Linked DNA regions of Saccharomyces cerevisiae S288C. Each later gene encodes a partner of the first gene's protein in a complex. Each region holds a gene or a part of one and is shown in the gene's direction. Other genes may lie near its edges. The genes, in order: AME1, CHL4, OKP1 and NKP2.

Region 1 (4,419 bases):
TCGCCTTTTATCTTCCGCATATTGTTCAAGAATTTGTTTGGAGTTATCGACTGAAGAAGCCGCAGATGGCGCTCTCAGGCCATTTGAGGACATATATTGGCTTGCCCCCATGATGGTCGAATTTGTTTTAGCATTTGAACTGGATGGGCGTCCCCATGATAATCTTATTGGACTGCCGCCCACAATAAAGCCTTGCAGGCCTTGTATTGAAGCTTCAGCATCAATCCTCTTCTCGAATTTAACAAACCCACAGTTTTTACCATTGGGAATCCTGACATTTAGAATGGGTCCAAAGGGTTTGAATAGTGAACGTAATTGAAATTCGGTAGTTTTTGGTACCAGTCCTCCCACAAAAACAGTAGTATTAGTGGGGTCTGTATTATAGGTGTTTGAAGGTAGTGAATCATTTACACGCATGTTTGAAATGCCGCCCTCATTCAAATGCATTGGAGGCGCGTTATGCAAGGCATTGAGAGGAAGCATGTTGCTATTGTTTTGAATGAGATTATTTGCAGTCTTAATCAAGAGAGGGCCATTATTATCCTCCTGATCTAGCTGCTGATGCTGTTGCTGCAATTGTTGTTGCTGTTGTTGTTGTTCCTGTAACTGCAGCATCATATTATTTCTTGGCGTGGCATAAGCGACTCTTAAGGCCCTTCCTTGAAACCATTTCCCACTCATCTCAATCAGTGCCCTGCGGCGCTCATCTTCATCACCGAATCTGACAAATCCAAAACAACGAGATGATCCTGTTAAAGGGTCAGTCATCACGCGGACGGTTTTAACAGATTTGAACCTCGTTTGGAAAAGAGATAACAAATCAGCTTCAGTGGCGGTGGGAGAAAGATCACCAACAAACAAGGAAAATTCTGGGGTAGATGGTATAGAACTTTGTAAAGTAGCTCCAGACGCCCAATTCAATCTGAAAGTCCTTTTGAACGTTGGATTAGTTTGGGAGTTAGTTGTTGGGGAATAAAAATTAGGTAAAGGTGTAGCATTTAATGACAGGGCAAATTTAGCGTCCTTTTGAGTTTCAAATTCGACAAAACAGTATCCGGCATGATGTAATTGAGTAGTGGAAGGATCAATGAAGGATATTCCATTAATATTAATCATTTGGGAATTATCTAACTGATCAGTGCTGTTTGATGCAGATTGCTGGTTTTCAGCATTCTCCTCACTTGTGTTGTTATTACTACTTGAGGTGGAGCTACAAGGAATCAACAAATTTTTTTTGGCTCTAATTAGTTTAACGATAACTTTTTTATCCAGTTTTGACCATATCTCCTCAATCGTGGCCTCGTCGAAGGACGGATCCAAATCTCCCATCCATAACGTTCTTGGGGGTTCAGTAGAAGTTTCCACTGTGGATGAAGGAGGCAATGGAATAATATATGGATTTTCCTGTCTTTGGGAGGCGTTAGCAACGTTAGACATCATTTGTGTAAATTTTTCAGGCAAAAATCGATGGCGAAGGATATGAAAAAGCTGTAATATTTAAAAGATCCAATAATAGTAAAAACAATATAAATCAGAACGAAAGGGAAAGAAAAAAGCCTCCTTTATTAATATTGGAACAGGAAGAGAATATCAAAAAATGAACCGGGAAAAAAATGGAATTACAATATATGACAATATAACAGATTCGATCACGAGAAATCAGAATATTTGGAACTAGGATATAACACGCAGATGGTTTTCCGTACAACTATGAAGAGTCAGAGAAAAAAAAAAATAGTGAATAAGAATGGTAATCTCTTTTATTGCTTCTTTGTCGACTGCGTCTATGTATATTGGTTCTAAAGGGAACAGGGTATGATAACCAGATTTAATTACAAATATGCTTATTTTCACTTTTAATGGAGTGTATGAAGGTGCGAAACTGCTTGCTTGACTAAGATTTGGTCTTGAATACAAGTTTGGGGAACGCTTTTTGGAACGGCACTATCGCCCCTTCACAGCCGTTTGAAGCTGGTAGAAAATATTTTATCGTGTTGTACGGAGAAATTTAATGGTGTATCCAAATATTGTTAAAGGACTAGTAGAAATGATAATGATTGATTTCATTAGCTATTATGGCAAGGGTCAACATCGTTGCAGTATAAGAAGCGATTGCTCTCATTTTTTTACGTGTCCTGTGTTGCTCTGTATTGTCTTGACTATTTGCGTGTTCATTTAAAGAAAAACCTCAGTATGGATAGAGACACTAAATTAGCTTTTAGGCTGAGGGGCAGTCATTCAAGAAGGACAGACGATATAGATGATGATGTTATTGTATTTAAGACGCCAAATGCTGTTTATAGAGAGGAGAACTCACCTATTCAATCTCCTGTTCAACCCATTTTGTCTTCACCAAAACTTGCGAATTCTTTCGAGTTTCCTATTACCACTAATAACGTAAATGCGCAGGACCGTCATGAACATGGGTATCAGCCCTTGGATGCAGAAGACTATCCCATGATCGACTCTGAAAATAAAAGTCTTATAAGCGAATCGCCGCAAAATGTTAGAAATGATGAAGACCTTACTACTCGTTACAATTTCGATGATATACCCATTAGACAGCTATCATCGTCTATCACTTCTGTGACCACAATTGATGTTTTATCTTCTTTATTCATAAACTTATTTGAAAATGATTTGATTCCGCAAGCTTTGAAGGATTTCAATAAAAGTGATGATGATCAATTTAGGAAACTATTGTACAAATTAGATCTGCGACTCTTTCAAACGATATCAGACCAAATGACCAGAGACTTGAAAGACATATTAGATATCAACGTGTCGAATAATGAGCTCTGCTACCAACTGAAGCAGGTACTTGCTCGAAAAGAAGATTTGAACCAGCAGATAATATCGGTACGAAATGAAATTCAAGAGTTGAAAGCCGGTAAAGACTGGCATGACTTACAAAATGAACAAGCCAAACTGAACGACAAAGTGAAGCTAAATAAGAGGCTAAATGATTTGACTTCTACTTTGCTAGGCAAATACGAGGGAGATCGCAAAATTATGAGCCAAGATAGCGAGGACGATTCAATACGGGATGACTCAAATATTCTGGATATTGCACATTTCGTAGACTTGATGGATCCATATAACGGACTTCTGAAAAAGATAAATAAAATTAATGAAAATCTTTCTAACGAATTACAACCAAGTCTATAGGGAATTGGTTCAAAAGATGTATATATATATATATATATATATATATGTATGTATATATGTATATATGTATATATGTATTACTTCCATACTAAGGAAGTTGTGTTATAAGGTCATTTTTATGTGGTAGACATACTTCATAGATATGCACAAATCTCTCTTTTTTTTTCCTGTTGTCGCTATTAGCTTATCAAATTTGCATCATTTTCAAGTAACGCTGTGACCATTCTGTAGAAGTAGAAAAAGAATATGAGAAGGTAAAATCCCAATTTTAAAAAGCATTCAATTTTGCATCTACCCAATTTTCTGAAAATATCCGTGGCGTCCAGTAGATGTGTTTTCTTGTAGACTTTACTTGCGTTATATGCTAGAACAGGGACATTCAAGAGAAATACGAACCAGTACCCGTTAAAAAGAAACAATGCAGAAATGAAAGCTTGTAGAATTGCCTCTGGTACACTCAACCTATTCACCCTCTTACACAGTTCGATTGAGTTGATATAGTCTGCTTCAAGATCACCATATAATATAGTAAAGTATATCTGGCAAATGGAATTCAAACAATTCAGTATAAGACCCGTCACGAATAGCGATAATCCGGTTCCTGACATCTTTACTCTTGGCTTCGAACTTCTTGGTGCCTGCAGTTAGTTTTATCTTTAGTAAAAAATGATAATGAAAGTGCTTATATGAATAAAGGTATTAATGTCTTCGTATTTAGCAATGTAATTGAAAAATCATTCGTGGCCCACGACAATATTTCCAAATTATCACAGCTTTCGATAGAAGTGAACGATTTTGAATTAGAGAGAGTAGTAGTGAGCTAGACGTACTGTGTTTTGAGAATTGAAGTTTGTATAGCAAAACTATACTATCATAATGCAACATTCAAGAAAAATAATGGTATAGAAACAAAAAATAACTCCGATACGGGGAGTCGAACCCCGGTCTCCACGGTGAAAGCGTGATGTGATAGCCGTTACACTATATCGGATAATAACTTATGTTTGATTTAACCTTAAAGATTTTCTATGTCAAGTTTAAACTGGAGGGCTTTCTATTGCCGAACAATCCTAGCTAAAGGCTTTTTTCCCTATTTACAGAAGAAAATGTAATGACTGAAGATTTTGAAAGGTCTCGTTTGATGGCTAGCAGGCTACACCTAGAATTACCCAATTCCAAAGGTTGGTCATCATAGGAAAACAACCAGCATGAACCTTACCCTAGTTCTCTTGCTACTATTTCACATCATCA
Region 2 (4,806 bases), on another chromosome or scaffold:
CTTTGCTACGAGTGATAACCCTGCTGCTGTAATAAAACTAGGGACACCTTCTGAAGATACAGTTTCAGCTGCGGCAACAGCCAATAATATAAGTACAATGGGAGATGAAAGCCGCAAAGAGGACGTTAAGGAAAAAAAGAAGAAAAAGTTCAGTTTCTTTGGAAAAAGGAAAAAGTAACAAATACGCGAGCCCTTGTCTTTCCAATCCAAATAATCCGTTTTTGTTAATGATATGTTATATTTTATCTACTTATACATTTTATCTAAAACACTTTCTATTTGGTTAATGACCAACGAGGAAGTTTGTAGCTTCAACACAACTTTAGATCATGTAATAAACGGCATATGCTTTTAAATGCTTTGTTTTGTTTTTTTCTTTTTTTCCCGCTGTGACAGAAACAATTAAGTTGCGTTAAAAAGGTTCCCTGATAGAAATAAATACGGCTAAATTAAATAAACTACTACATAATCCTACAACATCAAATGCCTGTAGATCAAGAAAAATTAGCTAAGCTGCACAAGTTATCAGCAGCAAACAAAGTTGGTGGTACCAGAAGGAAAATAAACAAGAAAGGTAATTTATATAATAACAATGACAAGGATAATACCAAGTTACAAGCTGAACTTCATAAACTGCATCCAATGACCATTGAAAACGTTGCCGAAGCAAATTTTTTCAAAAAGAATGGCAAGGTTTTACATTTTAACAGTGCAGTTGTACAGATTGCCCCTCAATGCAATCTCACAATGATTCATGGCCAACCGAAAGAGAATACACTTAATGGGCTGTATCCGAGCGTAGCCTCTCAATTAGGTAGCCAAGAACTTGAGTATTTGACAGGTTTGGCTCATAACCTAGAAAATGAACAGACGGTGCTCGACCAGCTGGGCGACAGATGCAGCGAGACAAAACAACAAGTGATGAATAGCTGACATAGTTCATAATAATTGCCAGTAAACGTTATAGCTAGTGGCGAATGTCGAAGTGGAAATGCTATCACATTAATGTTGCAGATGAATATATATTTTCTTATTTGAGAAGATACACGCTATTTACTCTTTCAGCCATTACTGCTACCATTGTGGTTGTTATCTTGACGATGAACGATGTTGGATTGCTTGACTTTTTTCAGTAATTCATTGATACCCTCACCACCCGCAGTTAGTAATTTAGTCCTGTTTCTCCTACATGTCAGTGTATCATAATGTCTTTTCAATGCATCTTTCCTTGCAAAACCTTTGCCACATTGAGGACAAATGTTAGGCAATATGGCGAAGTGTGTCTTTTCGTGCCTTCTCAAATCTGATGATCTTGAAAATTCCAACGAACATTTCGCACATTTAAATCTTTTTTCACCAGTACTATTTCTACGATCTTGGGGTTTGCTTTTGCTGGACTTCGGTGGTTTTGGTAATGCGTTTTCCTTTTTAACCTTTATGTTACCGCCTTGACTATTTATATCAACACCATTTTCTGCCGGTATGAGTGCTGGTTTTTTATTTTGTAACCTGTTTTGCCTATTCCTTACCCTTTCTAATAACTCTTTTATTATAGGATCTATGTTATCTATATTTAATGATACATCCACTATTGCTTCTGTAGCCTGTTTGATAAATGCAGCATCCTGATCCTCCATTTGGTACTTTTTTGAAATTTATAATACCTCTTGACTTTTTTCCACTATATTATTAACAAATTCTTGGCATATGACATGAAACCCTATTCAATTATCCAGATGCATACATATATACCATGGATAGATATGTATATCTACTATATCTATATATACCTCGTCAATGTAATGAGGAAAGTTCCGAGGGCGACAAAGAGAACAAATATAGTTTTATTTATAATAATGATACAGAACTCAAGATTATTTCCTGCTTATTTTAAACTAAAAGTATAGCAAGTTCTAACCCACAATCAGGTTCTTTATTATTGTCAAGAAAATATAAACTGTGGCGTACTAAGCGTACTAAGTAAGGGACGAAAAACCATCACAAAATGTCACGTGCATGTTAGTCCAGTCGGGCAATAGATAGGGACTGTAAATTAAAGTTTATATTGAAATAAACAAAGGTAAATGGTAAAAGATTAGAAGCATAGAAAGCATCTGGCGTTATTTTAGCGGGGAAAGATTTTGGTGGATACTATCTTTGACTAGTATATTTGAGTAGCAATTAATGTCTAACGAATTACGGCTTGAAGATAACTATGTACCAACTTCCGACACACTAGTAGTTTTCAAACAATTGATGAAGCTGCCGGTAACGGTATTATATGATCTTACGCTATCATGGTTCGCAAAATTCGGTGGGTCATTTGATGGTGACATATATTTATTGACAGAAACATTAGACTTACTGATTGAGAAAGGCGTGAGGCGAAATGTTATAGTAAATAGGATATTATACGTATACTGGCCGGATGGCCTGAATGTTTTCCAATTAGCAGAAATAGATTGCCATTTAATGATAAGTAAACCAGAGAAATTTAAGTGGCTTCCATCAAAAGCTTTACGGGGAGATGGGAAACCTTACGTAGTAAAGCTCCAACCTGCCAAATTTATAGAAAATTTACAAACAGATCTAGCGAAAATTTACCATTGTCATGTTTACATGTTTAAACATCCCTCTTTGCCAGTGTTAATTACCAGAATACAGCTATTTGACAGCAATAATTTATTTTTGAGTACGCCTAATATAGGGAGTATAAATAAAGAGTCTCTTTACAACAAGTTAGACAAATTCCAAGGGAAACCATTAATATCAAGGAGACCATATTACGTTGCATTCCCGCTAAATTCTCCAATAATTTTCCATTCAGTTGACAAGGATATTTATGCTAGACTAGTTTTGCAGAGCATTAGTCGAACGATATCAGAAAGAGAAACAATCATCTTCAAACCGGTACAGAAAATACCCGTGAAATCAATACATAATATAATGACTTTATTAGGACCTTCGAGATTTGCGGAGTCTATGGGCCCATGGGAATGTTATGCTAGTGCTAACTTTGAACGGTCACCACTACACGACTACAAAAAGCACCAAGGCCTTACTGGTAAAAAGGTAATGGTTAGAGAATTTGATGATTCTTTCTTAAATGACGATGAGAATTTTTACGGAAAAGAAGAACCTGAAATTAGACGACTAAGGTTAGAGAAAAACATGATCAAATTCAAAGGTTCAGCAAACGGCGTAATGGATCAGAAATATAATGATTTGAAAGAATTTAACGAACATGTCCACAATATTAGGAATGGAAAGAAAAATGAAGATTCTGGTGAGCCAGTGTACATTTCTAGATACAGTTCCTTAGTTCCTATTGAAAAAGTTGGATTCACTTTAAAAAACGAAATAAACAGTAGAATAATTACCATAAAATTGAAATTTAATGGTAATGATATTTTTGGGGGATTACACGAACTATGCGATAAAAATTTAATAAATATTGATAAAGTTCCTGGGTGGTTGGCTGGAGAAAATGGATCGTTCTCAGGAACGATAATGAATGGAGATTTTCAGCGAGAGCAGGTTGCTAAAGGTGGTTTACTGTAGAAAACTACTGTGTTCTGTTATCGCTTCCAATAAAAAAAAAAAAAAAAAACCTATGCAAAAATTTCAGTCAAAGCATAACAAAACGAACCTTTTTTGTACTGCTCATTGAAGTATTTACGGGGCAGTATGGGCACTTGAAAGTAATTGTTCCGTTCTTCGATAATCTGTCTAGCGCCTTTTTAGAAATGATGTGATGGCATGCCAGTGAATAAGGAGGATTTTCTGTAGTGGTTTCCTCCTTTAAGACGGGACAGATGAAGATCGGATGGAAATGAGTCAGAAAATCTGGTAACTTGACATCAAATGGCAACTCATCTTTCGTAGTCCAGTCAACGTGCGCTAACTCCCTGATGGTTTTGTATTTGATGAAAAATTGGAAAGAAATTAAACCACTCAATACTATCAAAAACAAGGGAGAGTCAAAGAAAATATGTTTTGCAGCACAATATTCTTTTATAAATAACGACGTGCATTCTTTTAATTCCTTATTTACTTTAGAATCAATATCTTCAATAGGTTGACCTATTAGCGATTTAGTTAATAATGGTACGACGTTTTGCATTAATTCCTTCTCCCTATGTCTAAAGCAATCCAGGGGTGCGTTCTGTGTTATTTGGTAGTACAACTCTACCGGATTTCCATGCTTCACTATCTGCATTGCTGACAAAGTGTATAAATCAAATTTTAGGGACGATAAAGCCGTATGGTTAGATGATAAGCTTTCCATTTCATTGGAGCACCATTTCAGACAGCTTTCTGTGTCACCCTTTTTAAGATCATGTACGATTTGGCCCATCTCAATAAATTCAGTAGATTCTTTATTAGTAATTCCGTAGACATCTTTTAGATACTGGAAAGCCTCATTTTTATTTCCTAATGGCATGTTGTCTATACTATACCTCAAAATATGGTAACCGATGGCTTCATTAACATTTTCCATTGTCTCTTTCGGTAATTTATTGACATATACGCTATCTATATCAAATTCTTTTAATTTGTTCAGCGTGCTTTTGTTGAAGCGATTCGACTGCTGAGAAACGTACTTTATTTGTTTCTTTACTGAATGGTCCCATTGCCTCTGTGACTTGCTTAGCTTCTCAATAATTAGTTCTCTTTTTCTCTTAAACTTTTGTTTCTCCTTATCACTCAGCTTATTATAGACTTCTGGTTTTGATTCCTGAATATGCTTGTTTAAGTGCGCTTTCAACTTCTTTAATTGACTCTTGAATTCATGAGTATGATCAA
Region 3 (4,485 bases), on another chromosome or scaffold:
CGGTTACAACGTCACGTCTTTTTCTGTTTAACCCTTTTGTACTAACAAGGAATAAATTATATTCAATGAATTATGAACAGTCAAATGCGTATATATTGGCGCTCCACCTTTATTGTATATCAGATGAGGTAACATTACTTGTACCGCGCTCGCTTTCAACAAATAAGTGGTTGTTTGGCCGAGCGGTCTAAGGCGCCTGATTCAAGAAATATCTTGACCGCAGTTAACTGTGGGAATACTCAGGTATCGTAAGATGCAAGAGTTCGAATCTCTTAGCAACCAATAATTTTTTTTTCAATAATTAAGTACCAATTTCCTGCTAATGGGCAGGCCCACCTTTATTTCTTTTTTTTTCCATTAGAACGAGCATTTCAGGCAAGAAAGGGAACCGGCGAAGACGGGAAAGTGTACTTTTCACGAAACAAAGAAAATGAAGTACGCGTCTAGACTATTCCCATAATGTTTACGTTTCACAGAAATTGAGGAATCTGGAGATAAGGCAACGAGGACCACCTGAGTGTCGCCACTAGTACCTTGCTATACGAATATCCTGTGTGTGAGTGTTTACGCGTCTATGTGATTTCGCTTCCAGAGTGGTTGCCATGGCAAACTATTCAACCCGCTCTTTTTCTATCCAAAACCAACAACAGAACATGAGCAAGCCCCACTCCACTGAATATCTGGAGCGCCTCCACCGCTTGTGTGGTCTGCCCCCTTCTGCGAGGTCGCCTCTGAGCTTAATAAGCACCGTGCGCCTACCTTCGTTTCCCTTTTTGAGGGTACCCGCCCATACACCGCACCAATGGAACTAGCAGGTACGACCACCCAACACCAAGCACCGGAAACCGGACAGTGCAAGTTCTAGCACACTGAAAGCGGCGCACGAGAACGCGCTTTTCAGCGTGCGAGAACCACGTTTTGGCAGTTATTGTTCACCACAGCGTCTCTTGCCTTCCCGATGGGCGTTGTTGTGGCAACACCATCCTCTTTGCTTACTGTAATCGGTAGACGACGTCCGTTCCTTCCTTGGTCTCATGAAGCTCTGGCGTATAAAAACGGCGATTGAATCTTCAATGTTCCTAAAGTTTCATTCCTTATCTCTCATTTTCTTCATTTTTTGTCTCTTGGCTTTTCGATCAAAAAAAGACTATCAATAGATACATTGGTTTCTGACCCCACCTCTGTCCCCTTACACTATCAAATTTCACTTTTTTACTTTTTTTTTTTTTGCAAAAGGCCTTGTCTCGAAACAGAAAGAAAAAAAATTCATTTAAAAAGGGAAATAAAAAATTGCTAATACAAAAACAGATCTTTTTGAGCCACACAACCCCGCGCAACGCACACAATTAGTTATTACAATGGAAGCACATAACCAATTTTTGAAGACTTTCCAAAAAGAACGTCATGATATGAAAGAAGCTGAAAAGGATGAAATCCTTTTGATGGAAAACAGCCGTAGATTCGTGATGTTCCCTATCAAATACCACGAAATCTGGGCTGCTTACAAGAAGGTTGAAGCCTCTTTCTGGACTGCGGAAGAAATCGAATTGGCTAAGGACACTGAAGATTTCCAAAAATTGACTGATGACCAGAAGACCTACATCGGTAACTTGTTAGCCTTGTCCATTTCTTCTGACAACCTTGTCAACAAGTACTTGATCGAAAACTTTTCTGCCCAATTGCAAAACCCTGAAGGTAAGAGTTTCTACGGGTTCCAGATTATGATGGAAAACATCTACTCTGAAGTTTACTCCATGATGGTTGATGCCTTCTTCAAGGACCCTAAGAACATCCCTCTATTCAAGGAAATTGCCAATTTGCCTGAAGTCAAGCATAAGGCTGCTTTCATCGAGAGATGGATTTCCAACGATGACAGCTTGTATGCTGAAAGACTAGTAGCATTTGCTGCAAAGGAAGGTATTTTCCAAGCTGGTAACTATGCTTCTATGTTCTGGTTGACTGACAAAAAGATTATGCCAGGTTTAGCAATGGCCAACAGAAACATCTGTAGAGACAGAGGTGCCTACACTGACTTTTCATGCTTGCTATTTGCCCATTTGAGAACCAAGCCAAACCCCAAGATCATTGAAAAAATCATTACCGAAGCCGTGGAAATTGAAAAGGAATACTACTCAAACTCTTTGCCAGTAGAAAAATTTGGTATGGATTTGAAGAGCATTCACACCTACATAGAATTTGTCGCTGACGGTCTATTACAAGGTTTCGGTAACGAAAAATACTACAACGCCGTCAACCCATTCGAATTCATGGAGGATGTCGCTACCGCTGGTAAGACCACCTTCTTTGAAAAGAAGGTTTCCGACTACCAAAAGGCCAGTGACATGTCTAAGTCCGCTACCCCATCCAAGGAAATTAACTTTGATGATGACTTCTAAGTCAACGACGGGGTGCGTTCTTTTATTCTTGGCCACTTTTATTTATATATATTTATATATACCTAGGTACAGTATAACTAAACTTAAGTAGAAAAATTTAAAAAGAAACTACAGTTTTTTTTTATATTTATTATGACAATATTTGCCATTTTCTTGTAGGTAGATAAGGGAAAGATTCAGAGAGTACCATCATCCCGGTCATTTCATTTAAATAACATATTTTTGTTACCCGGAGAGTCACAATACGGTCCACCCATTTGTTTACTACCTCGAAGTTAATACAGATAGAGGTACATAGCAACAATGGATGAGGTAACTTGCACCCTATGGACGAATAATTCAAGCGATACTAGTGCTACGTATACTGTATGGCAGCTGATAGAGATAATTTTTTACAAAATATTGAAAATGATTCAATTAACAATGGCCAGGCCATGGATCTGTCACCCAACCGAAGTTCCTCTGAAAGCGATAGCAGCATTCTCATGAATGTGAATGATATTAAAACTTTACGTCTGGACGTAGCACCAGAAGCTAAAAGCACCCAATCAAAGAAGTCGCTTTTTTATGAGAACTCTGATGATGCTGAAGAAGGAGAAATAGAAGAGCGCACGAACAAAGAAGAAGGACAATACCATCATAAAGGATCTAAACAACTTCGATTTGAGGTTGGCAAGGAAAGTACAGGTAAATTGCAATCTCATCTATCGGATGGAAGCGCAACAAGTGGAGAGGGCAATGTACGACCTTGGGAATTCAGGAAGGTAATACAAGCTGAGTATAGAGAAAGGTTGCCGCGCAATTATGAATTAAAGCATTGGAAAAAGCCTTCTAAAATAATGATAGGATCCATACTTCGTTTATTAGAGACTAACACTGTAAGCGCTCTTGATTCTGTCTTTGAGAAGTACGAAAAGGAAATGAACCAAATGACGCATGGCGATAATAATGAGGTTAAAAGAATATATTCTAAGAAGGAACGTTTGCTTGAAATAATCCTCACAAAGATAAAGAAGAAGCTAAGACAGGCCAAATTTCCCTCTAGGATATCGGAAAGAGATCTAGACATCGAGTATATTTATTCTAAGCGACAATTTATTCAAAACCGGTATTCACAAGAACTACAAAATAATGAGAGATTGGAAGCAATTCTTTCACGTGAACAAAACCTTTTGGAGGAAACTAGGAAGTTGTGCATGAATTTAAAAACAAACAACAAGAAACGACTCACTGAGAAGCTAATACAAAAAGATCTGCATCCAGTACTTAACAAAGCAATGGAATATACATATGGCTTAGAATCTACTAATGGATTTATGCATCCTGATGGCCCAGTAACTTTTAGAAATGATAGCCACGAATTGAACCTGATGTTGAACGACCCCATAAAAAGTACAGCCGATGTGAGGCTTGATAAGGAGGAAGTACTGTCGTTGTTACCTTCTTTGAAAGAATATACGAAGAAATCAAAGGAACTTAAGGAAACAATGGGTCAAATGATTTCGGATTCACATGAAGAAGAAATCAAAGAGGTTTTTGTACCGCACCATGAGTCGCACCAAGATAAGACCGAAGAAGATATACACTAGCGATAATCCATTGTTTCAGAGTTTACGATTACGATGCATATAACTAAATATTTGATATATAATCATGCACTATTAGCATCCGGGTTACGTAACTTCTCCGCCAACGAGCCTCAGAAAACCTTGGAGAGCCACAACAAATTATGAAAAACTGGAAAAAAAAAAAAATAAAGAAGGAAGGAAAGCTCAATTGGGAGGCACTTTCTTTACTTGAGATTTGCGTTTTTGTAAAGCAGTTCTTAAATCGGCATCTCTCATCGCATAGATCTTTAAGGAAGATATAGGTCATTCACTCGCGTTTTCTTCTATCTTTCTTTTTGTTCTTTCCAGAAGACGTTTCGATTATTTCCGAATTGATCTTGAAGGGGAAGCAATAATTAAATCTTTGAAAATTGATTTGATATAAAAACTGACATCCTCAGTCACGGAAGTAATTAAAGGAGTTCATTACATTGAAACAATATGAAGGGAAACTTTAGGAAAAGAGATAGCTCCACCAACTC
Region 4 (3,887 bases), on another chromosome or scaffold:
TCTTTTTATTTCGTTATGGCCACATTATGATATTCTTTTACTTTACTGTTTTAATTTTATATTCTGCGATTCAAATCATAACAGATATTTAGTTGAATAACTCTGTTTTTCTTCATTTCCATTTTTTTCTATTTACCCTTCTTCTTTTTATTTTACGCGTCTCGCGTTTTATATATTAATAGTAATAATATTTAATAGTGTATGTTTGAAATTTTTATATGTCTTTATTTCGCTAACGTAAAAATCCCTTCTTCTTTGTAGGGACGGGGGAGTGGTTAACATTGGGAGAAGCACTATTTATTGAAAGTTCTAGCTGTTTTTTCTTGTCCTCCAAAGCTTTTAATTGTTTAGTTAATTTTTCCTTCATTTCTTTATGTCTAGCAAACAATTCAGTTTCTGATTTTTGTAGTTTTTTCTCCTTTTCGGAAACTTTTTGTTGGAAAACTGTTTTCATTTCAATTTCTAGTTTGGCTAGTTTTGCCTCATGTAAAGTTTTTTCTTCTTGTTGTTTAGATATTGGATCGAACTCTTTGAAAACTGAATTATCTTGCTTAATACCAAGTTTTGCCAATTTAGAAGACCTGTAGTTTTCGTATAGTATCTTGCTTGTCCTTTCCTTTAATTCCTCCATGAATTGCTTGATCAATAAATTTTTCAAAAGGTTGAAATCAGAGTGGTTGTCATTGTCCACTTCGATCACCCCCCATGGATAGGAACGGCCTCTCACTTGATTACCACTGTAGTTCTCTACAATATCGTTGGAACCAATAACAGCATAAGGTAAACTACTAAATAGTCTTTCGGATAAATGGCTATTTTCTGCATCATCGTTGGAATAAATTGGAGGCTTGAACAGCTCGATATTAGATTGGATTAACTGGTTCATAATGGTCTTCTTGAAACTTAAGATCTCTTCATCAGTTAAGATGTCAGATTTAGCAATGACAGGAATCAAGTTACATTTTTCATATACAGATTGCATAAACTTCAGGTCCAGGGGCTTTAAGTAATGTCCTGTAGGTTCAATGAAATAAAGACATGCATGGATTCTTTTATCGTTTATTGAATGTCTGTTGATTTTGTTCTCCGCATCCAAGTATTGATCAAAACGAGAGTCAATCTCCTTAATGATCGGGTCCCATGATTTTTGATCATTATTTAAAAAATCACCAAATCCTTCAGTATCGATCACGTTCAAATTCAGTTTAACACCATTTTCTTCAATAACCGACTCATATGACTTAATTTTGACCTTGTGCCTTTGTTCTTGTGATTGGTTCTCGTGACCCTCGCCCTGACCCTCCTCTTCTTCCTGATCATTTGCAAGTTCCTCCTCGTAATCTTTCACTAAATTGGCCTCAATATCATCATTATTAAATAAAGTTTTCATTAAAGTTGTCTTACCAATACCATCAGGGCCGACACATAGGAGATTGAAACTGAATCCGTTCTTTATGGACCTTCTGTGCCATTGCTTGGGCAAATTAGCAAACCCTACATAACCATTGATTTGACGACGAATGAACTTAATCTCCGGTTGGTCAGGCAGAACTTGACCCTTTTCGCTCTGAGAGGAGGTGATGCCCATACCGAGGCCGGGTTCCACCTTTACATCGGATTCAGCTGCCTCAAATCTCTCGCTGTCGTCATTTTGCGTACCGTTCGTGTACTGCGAGTCCACTCCATCATGATCCTGCGACTCTTGTTTGATCTGAACATCATTGAATTGATCATGCTGACGCTCTTCTTGTTCCGGGTCCTGCTTAATGGACACTTGTTCCTCCTTTAAACTCATGGCAACGTATTATAGGCCGATGTAATCGTTCAGTTGTCGTGTGATCCTGGATTTGATATTTTCTTGATCTGCTTTCCTCGAGAGATTTTAACTTAATACACAAAACAACACAAAACGCAATTCCTAAAACCGAGACAAAAAATGGCAAAAAATGGGAAGCGAAAACACGCCCCCACCATATCATTACACACGTAGATCATAAAAGACGAAAATACTAAATTAGCCGCCCAGGTGGTTCCTTTTTACGAAAGGAAGGAAGGAGAAATCTAGAGGTGCTGCTATATATGTTTGCAAGGTGCGAGAATATTCTGTCACAATTATCAAGCAGCAAGTTATATAAAGTTGTTTCTCACAGCTTCTTGCACTCCCTTGCGGTGCCTTTCCTGCACCACTAGTGTAACTGCTGATGTCTTCCATTTGATGTCAGAATCGATTTCTTGTTACGCCACGAACAGTTAATATATAGAATTAAAGGAATGATCTTGTACAACTACAAGATAACAATAGATTAACAGCCAATATTACCGTCGCCGCTGCCCGCTTCGCGGAGAAACAGCGAAAAACAACGAAGATCGTTCTCGAAAAAGCCCAAAAGCTGGGTATAACGCAACAAAATAATCATAGATTTGACAATTGTGCTCCCAATCTTGCTTTGAAATTACCATTATAAATGAACTCTGAACAGCTGCTGCATAACTATGTTTCGGATTCGCTACTCACTACTCTGATAAGTTTTCAAGAGTTCAAGCAGCAACTACAGTCGTACACGAGCGACGAGCAACAACTGCAACATTGGTACGAATTGCTTCAGGCCAGGGATGCGCGAGTGACCTCTGAGTTAGAAGCACGAATCAAGCAGTTTTTCATAACGTTGCGCTCTAGATTACTGCGATTTCTGGAAAGCGAGCAACTATCACACTCCCTTAGCCTCGAGACACTGATCGACGCGCTGTACAAGATTAATGACCTGTTGCAACAGCGTTTGCAGATTCTGGATGATGCTATTCAGGAAAAGACCTCGGAACTAGCAGAATTTGAAAATATGGTTCGCTCACCGAGTGCAGGAGACAATGCCATTCCTGGCCTATTACAAATTATACAATCTTATATTAATCTATTAGAGGAAAACTAGCAGCAGACATCCCGGTCAACCTGCCCCACAGGATATTCCTCGCCGATCCATTGAAAGGCTTCGTATGTTGAGTTTAGCTGTTTGTTATCGTTCATGCAGTACCCGTCACCACTCGTTAATTTTAAGCTCCCGGTGCGCTGCATCTCTGTAAGGAAGACCACTCGTCTCACACGAGAATGGATCAGGGCCATGGAGCACATTGAGCACGGCTCATGGGTCAAATAGACGTCGTAATCAAGACACAGATAAGAGTTTGCGTCTTCGTCTACACCCTCCCTGAGTCTTTCGCCTACCGCACGGATGCCCACCATTACACTGTGGTCGATGGGTAGCGAGTTTTCGCAGTTTCTGCCATCTTCTGCCACCACTTTGTCCTTCTTTCTTGATGGGTCAACAAAGACGCTCACCATTGGAAACTGTTTTCCTGCCGTTGCCATCTTCACAGACAACGTCGACGCACGCGATAGCTCATTTCGTACTTCCTGCATGTCTATTTTATAGTCGTTCAATATTTGATCATTGGGGTTGCCGTTCCAAATCAACGGCCAGTACTTCACAGACCAGGCATTGTTCAGTTCCTTTGTGCTGGGCGCAAACTCAGGCACTTCGATATCATCACTCAGTTCATACTTTTTCGTTCCAACCCAAATACTCTTCAATTTATTGTTTATTTCACCTTCGTCGCAAATATACTCTTTCGAACACAACACCACTTCCAAGGTGGAGGTCTCGATGTCCTTGCGGATCCTTTTCAAATGTCTCAATGAAACAGGGTCATTTTTCTGAAAATCGTTTCGAATTAGCCTACTTTACTAGTTAGTTTACTTCCATGAATACAAAAGCAAAAATCATATACATACTCTATTACTTTCTTCGAGTCTCTTGGATCTATTCTTATACTCCATACATTGACTGCACTTATATATGTTTGAAAGTTAGTTAATTGATCCTGATTTCTGT

Evidence for each region.
Region 2: the proteins of AME1 (region 1) and CHL4 are in contact, whole or in part, in a cryo-EM structure (PDB 6NUW), measured with the Saccharomyces cerevisiae proteins. Residues at the interface, in NP_009770.3 of Saccharomyces cerevisiae: Glu214 (codon at 2,833), Asn217 (codon at 2,842), Ile221 (codon at 2,854), Arg224 (codon at 2,863), Asn225 (codon at 2,866), Gln228 (codon at 2,875), Lys231 (codon at 2,884), Ala232 (codon at 2,887), Asp235 (codon at 2,896), Trp236 (codon at 2,899); in NP_010540.3 of Saccharomyces cerevisiae: Arg113 (codon at 2,521), Gly114 (codon at 2,524), Asp115 (codon at 2,527), Gln133 (codon at 2,581), Ala137 (codon at 2,593), Lys138 (codon at 2,596), Ile219 (codon at 2,839), Tyr220 (codon at 2,842), Arg222 (codon at 2,848), Leu223 (codon at 2,851), Gln226 (codon at 2,860), Ser229 (codon at 2,869), Arg230 (codon at 2,872), Ile238 (codon at 2,896), Ile239 (codon at 2,899), Phe240 (codon at 2,902).
Region 3: the proteins of AME1 (region 1) and OKP1 are in contact, whole or in part, in a crystal structure (PDB 8T0P), measured with the Saccharomyces cerevisiae proteins. Residues at the interface, in NP_009770.3 of Saccharomyces cerevisiae: Ser126 (codon at 2,569), Ile129 (codon at 2,578), Thr130 (codon at 2,581), Ser131 (codon at 2,584), Thr133 (codon at 2,590), Thr134 (codon at 2,593), Ile135 (codon at 2,596), Asp136 (codon at 2,599), Val137 (codon at 2,602), Leu138 (codon at 2,605), Ser140 (codon at 2,611), Leu141 (codon at 2,614), Phe142 (codon at 2,617), Asn144 (codon at 2,623), Leu145 (codon at 2,626), Asn148 (codon at 2,635), Asp149 (codon at 2,638), Leu150 (codon at 2,641), Gln165 (codon at 2,686), Phe166 (codon at 2,689), Leu169 (codon at 2,698), Leu170 (codon at 2,701), Lys172 (codon at 2,707), Leu173 (codon at 2,710), Asp174 (codon at 2,713), Arg176 (codon at 2,719), Leu177 (codon at 2,722), Phe178 (codon at 2,725), Thr180 (codon at 2,731), Ile181 (codon at 2,734); in NP_011695.1 of Saccharomyces cerevisiae: Pro127 (codon at 3,143), Trp128 (codon at 3,146), Phe130 (codon at 3,152), Val133 (codon at 3,161), Ile134 (codon at 3,164), Glu137 (codon at 3,173), Tyr138 (codon at 3,176), Arg141 (codon at 3,185), Leu142 (codon at 3,188), Glu147 (codon at 3,203), Ile162 (codon at 3,248), Leu165 (codon at 3,257), Leu166 (codon at 3,260), Asn169 (codon at 3,269), Thr170 (codon at 3,272), Ser172 (codon at 3,278), Ala173 (codon at 3,281), Leu174 (codon at 3,284), Ser176 (codon at 3,290), Val177 (codon at 3,293), Phe178 (codon at 3,296), Tyr181 (codon at 3,305), Glu184 (codon at 3,314), Met185 (codon at 3,317), Met188 (codon at 3,326), Glu195 (codon at 3,347), Ile199 (codon at 3,359), Lys203 (codon at 3,371), Leu206 (codon at 3,380), Leu207 (codon at 3,383).
Region 4: the proteins of AME1 (region 1) and NKP2 are in contact, whole or in part, in a cryo-EM structure (PDB 6NUW), measured with the Saccharomyces cerevisiae proteins. Residues at the interface, in NP_009770.3 of Saccharomyces cerevisiae: Lys172 (codon at 2,707), Arg176 (codon at 2,719), Gln179 (codon at 2,728), Asp183 (codon at 2,740), Thr186 (codon at 2,749), Arg187 (codon at 2,752), Ile195 (codon at 2,776), Ser198 (codon at 2,785), Glu201 (codon at 2,794), Leu202 (codon at 2,797), Gln205 (codon at 2,806), Leu206 (codon at 2,809), His294 (codon at 3,073), Tyr302 (codon at 3,097), Leu305 (codon at 3,106), Ile312 (codon at 3,127), Asn315 (codon at 3,136), Glu319 (codon at 3,148); in NP_013419.1 of Saccharomyces cerevisiae: Ile20 (codon at 2,523), Gln27 (codon at 2,544), Gln28 (codon at 2,547), Glu36 (codon at 2,571), Tyr43 (codon at 2,592), Arg52 (codon at 2,619), Val53 (codon at 2,622), Glu56 (codon at 2,631), Arg60 (codon at 2,643), Thr116 (codon at 2,811), Ala120 (codon at 2,823), Glu123 (codon at 2,832), Asn124 (codon at 2,835), Arg127 (codon at 2,844), Ser128 (codon at 2,847), Leu139 (codon at 2,880), Tyr146 (codon at 2,901), Leu150 (codon at 2,913), Asn153 (codon at 2,922).

What each region holds. Positions count from the first base shown.
Region 1 is NC_001134.8:644,907-649,325, reverse strand, and holds AME1 (Ame1p), read left to right. Parts: upstream 1-2,193; coding exon 2,194-3,168; downstream 3,169-4,419. Other genes in the region: NGR1 (Ngr1p), read right to left, coding at 1-1,440; ERV15 (Erv15p), read right to left, coding at 3,348-3,776.
Region 2 is NC_001136.10:962,929-967,734, forward strand, and holds CHL4 (Chl4p), read left to right. Parts: upstream 1-2,184; coding exon 2,185-3,561; downstream 3,562-4,806. Other genes in the region: PAM1 (Pam1p), read left to right, coding at 1-178; CCR4-NOT core subunit BTT1, read left to right, coding at 484-933; MET32 (Met32p), read right to left, coding at 1,062-1,637; ubiquitin-protein ligase RMD5, read right to left, coding at 3,629-4,806. UniProt on the Saccharomyces cerevisiae protein: Component of the kinetochore, a multiprotein complex that assembles on centromeric DNA and attaches chromosomes to spindle microtubules, mediating chromosome segregation and sister chromatid segregation during meiosis and mitosis.
Region 3 is NC_001139.9:853,175-857,659, reverse strand, and holds OKP1 (Okp1p), read left to right. Parts: upstream 1-2,764; coding exon 2,765-3,985; downstream 3,986-4,485. Other genes in the region: ribonucleotide-diphosphate reductase subunit RNR4, read left to right, coding at 1,359-2,396; PBP1 (Pbp1p), read left to right, coding at 4,445-4,485. UniProt on the Saccharomyces cerevisiae protein: Component of the kinetochore, a multiprotein complex that assembles on centromeric DNA and attaches chromosomes to spindle microtubules, mediating chromosome segregation and sister chromatid segregation during meiosis and mitosis.
Region 4 is NC_001144.5:762,343-766,229, forward strand, and holds NKP2 (Nkp2p), read left to right. Parts: upstream 1-2,465; coding exon 2,466-2,927; downstream 2,928-3,887. Other genes in the region: septin CDC3, read right to left, coding at 233-1,795; TAD3 (Tad3p), read right to left, coding at 2,924-3,731, 3,788-3,839. UniProt on the Saccharomyces cerevisiae protein: Component of the kinetochore, a multiprotein complex that assembles on centromeric DNA and attaches chromosomes to spindle microtubules, mediating chromosome segregation and sister chromatid segregation during meiosis and mitosis.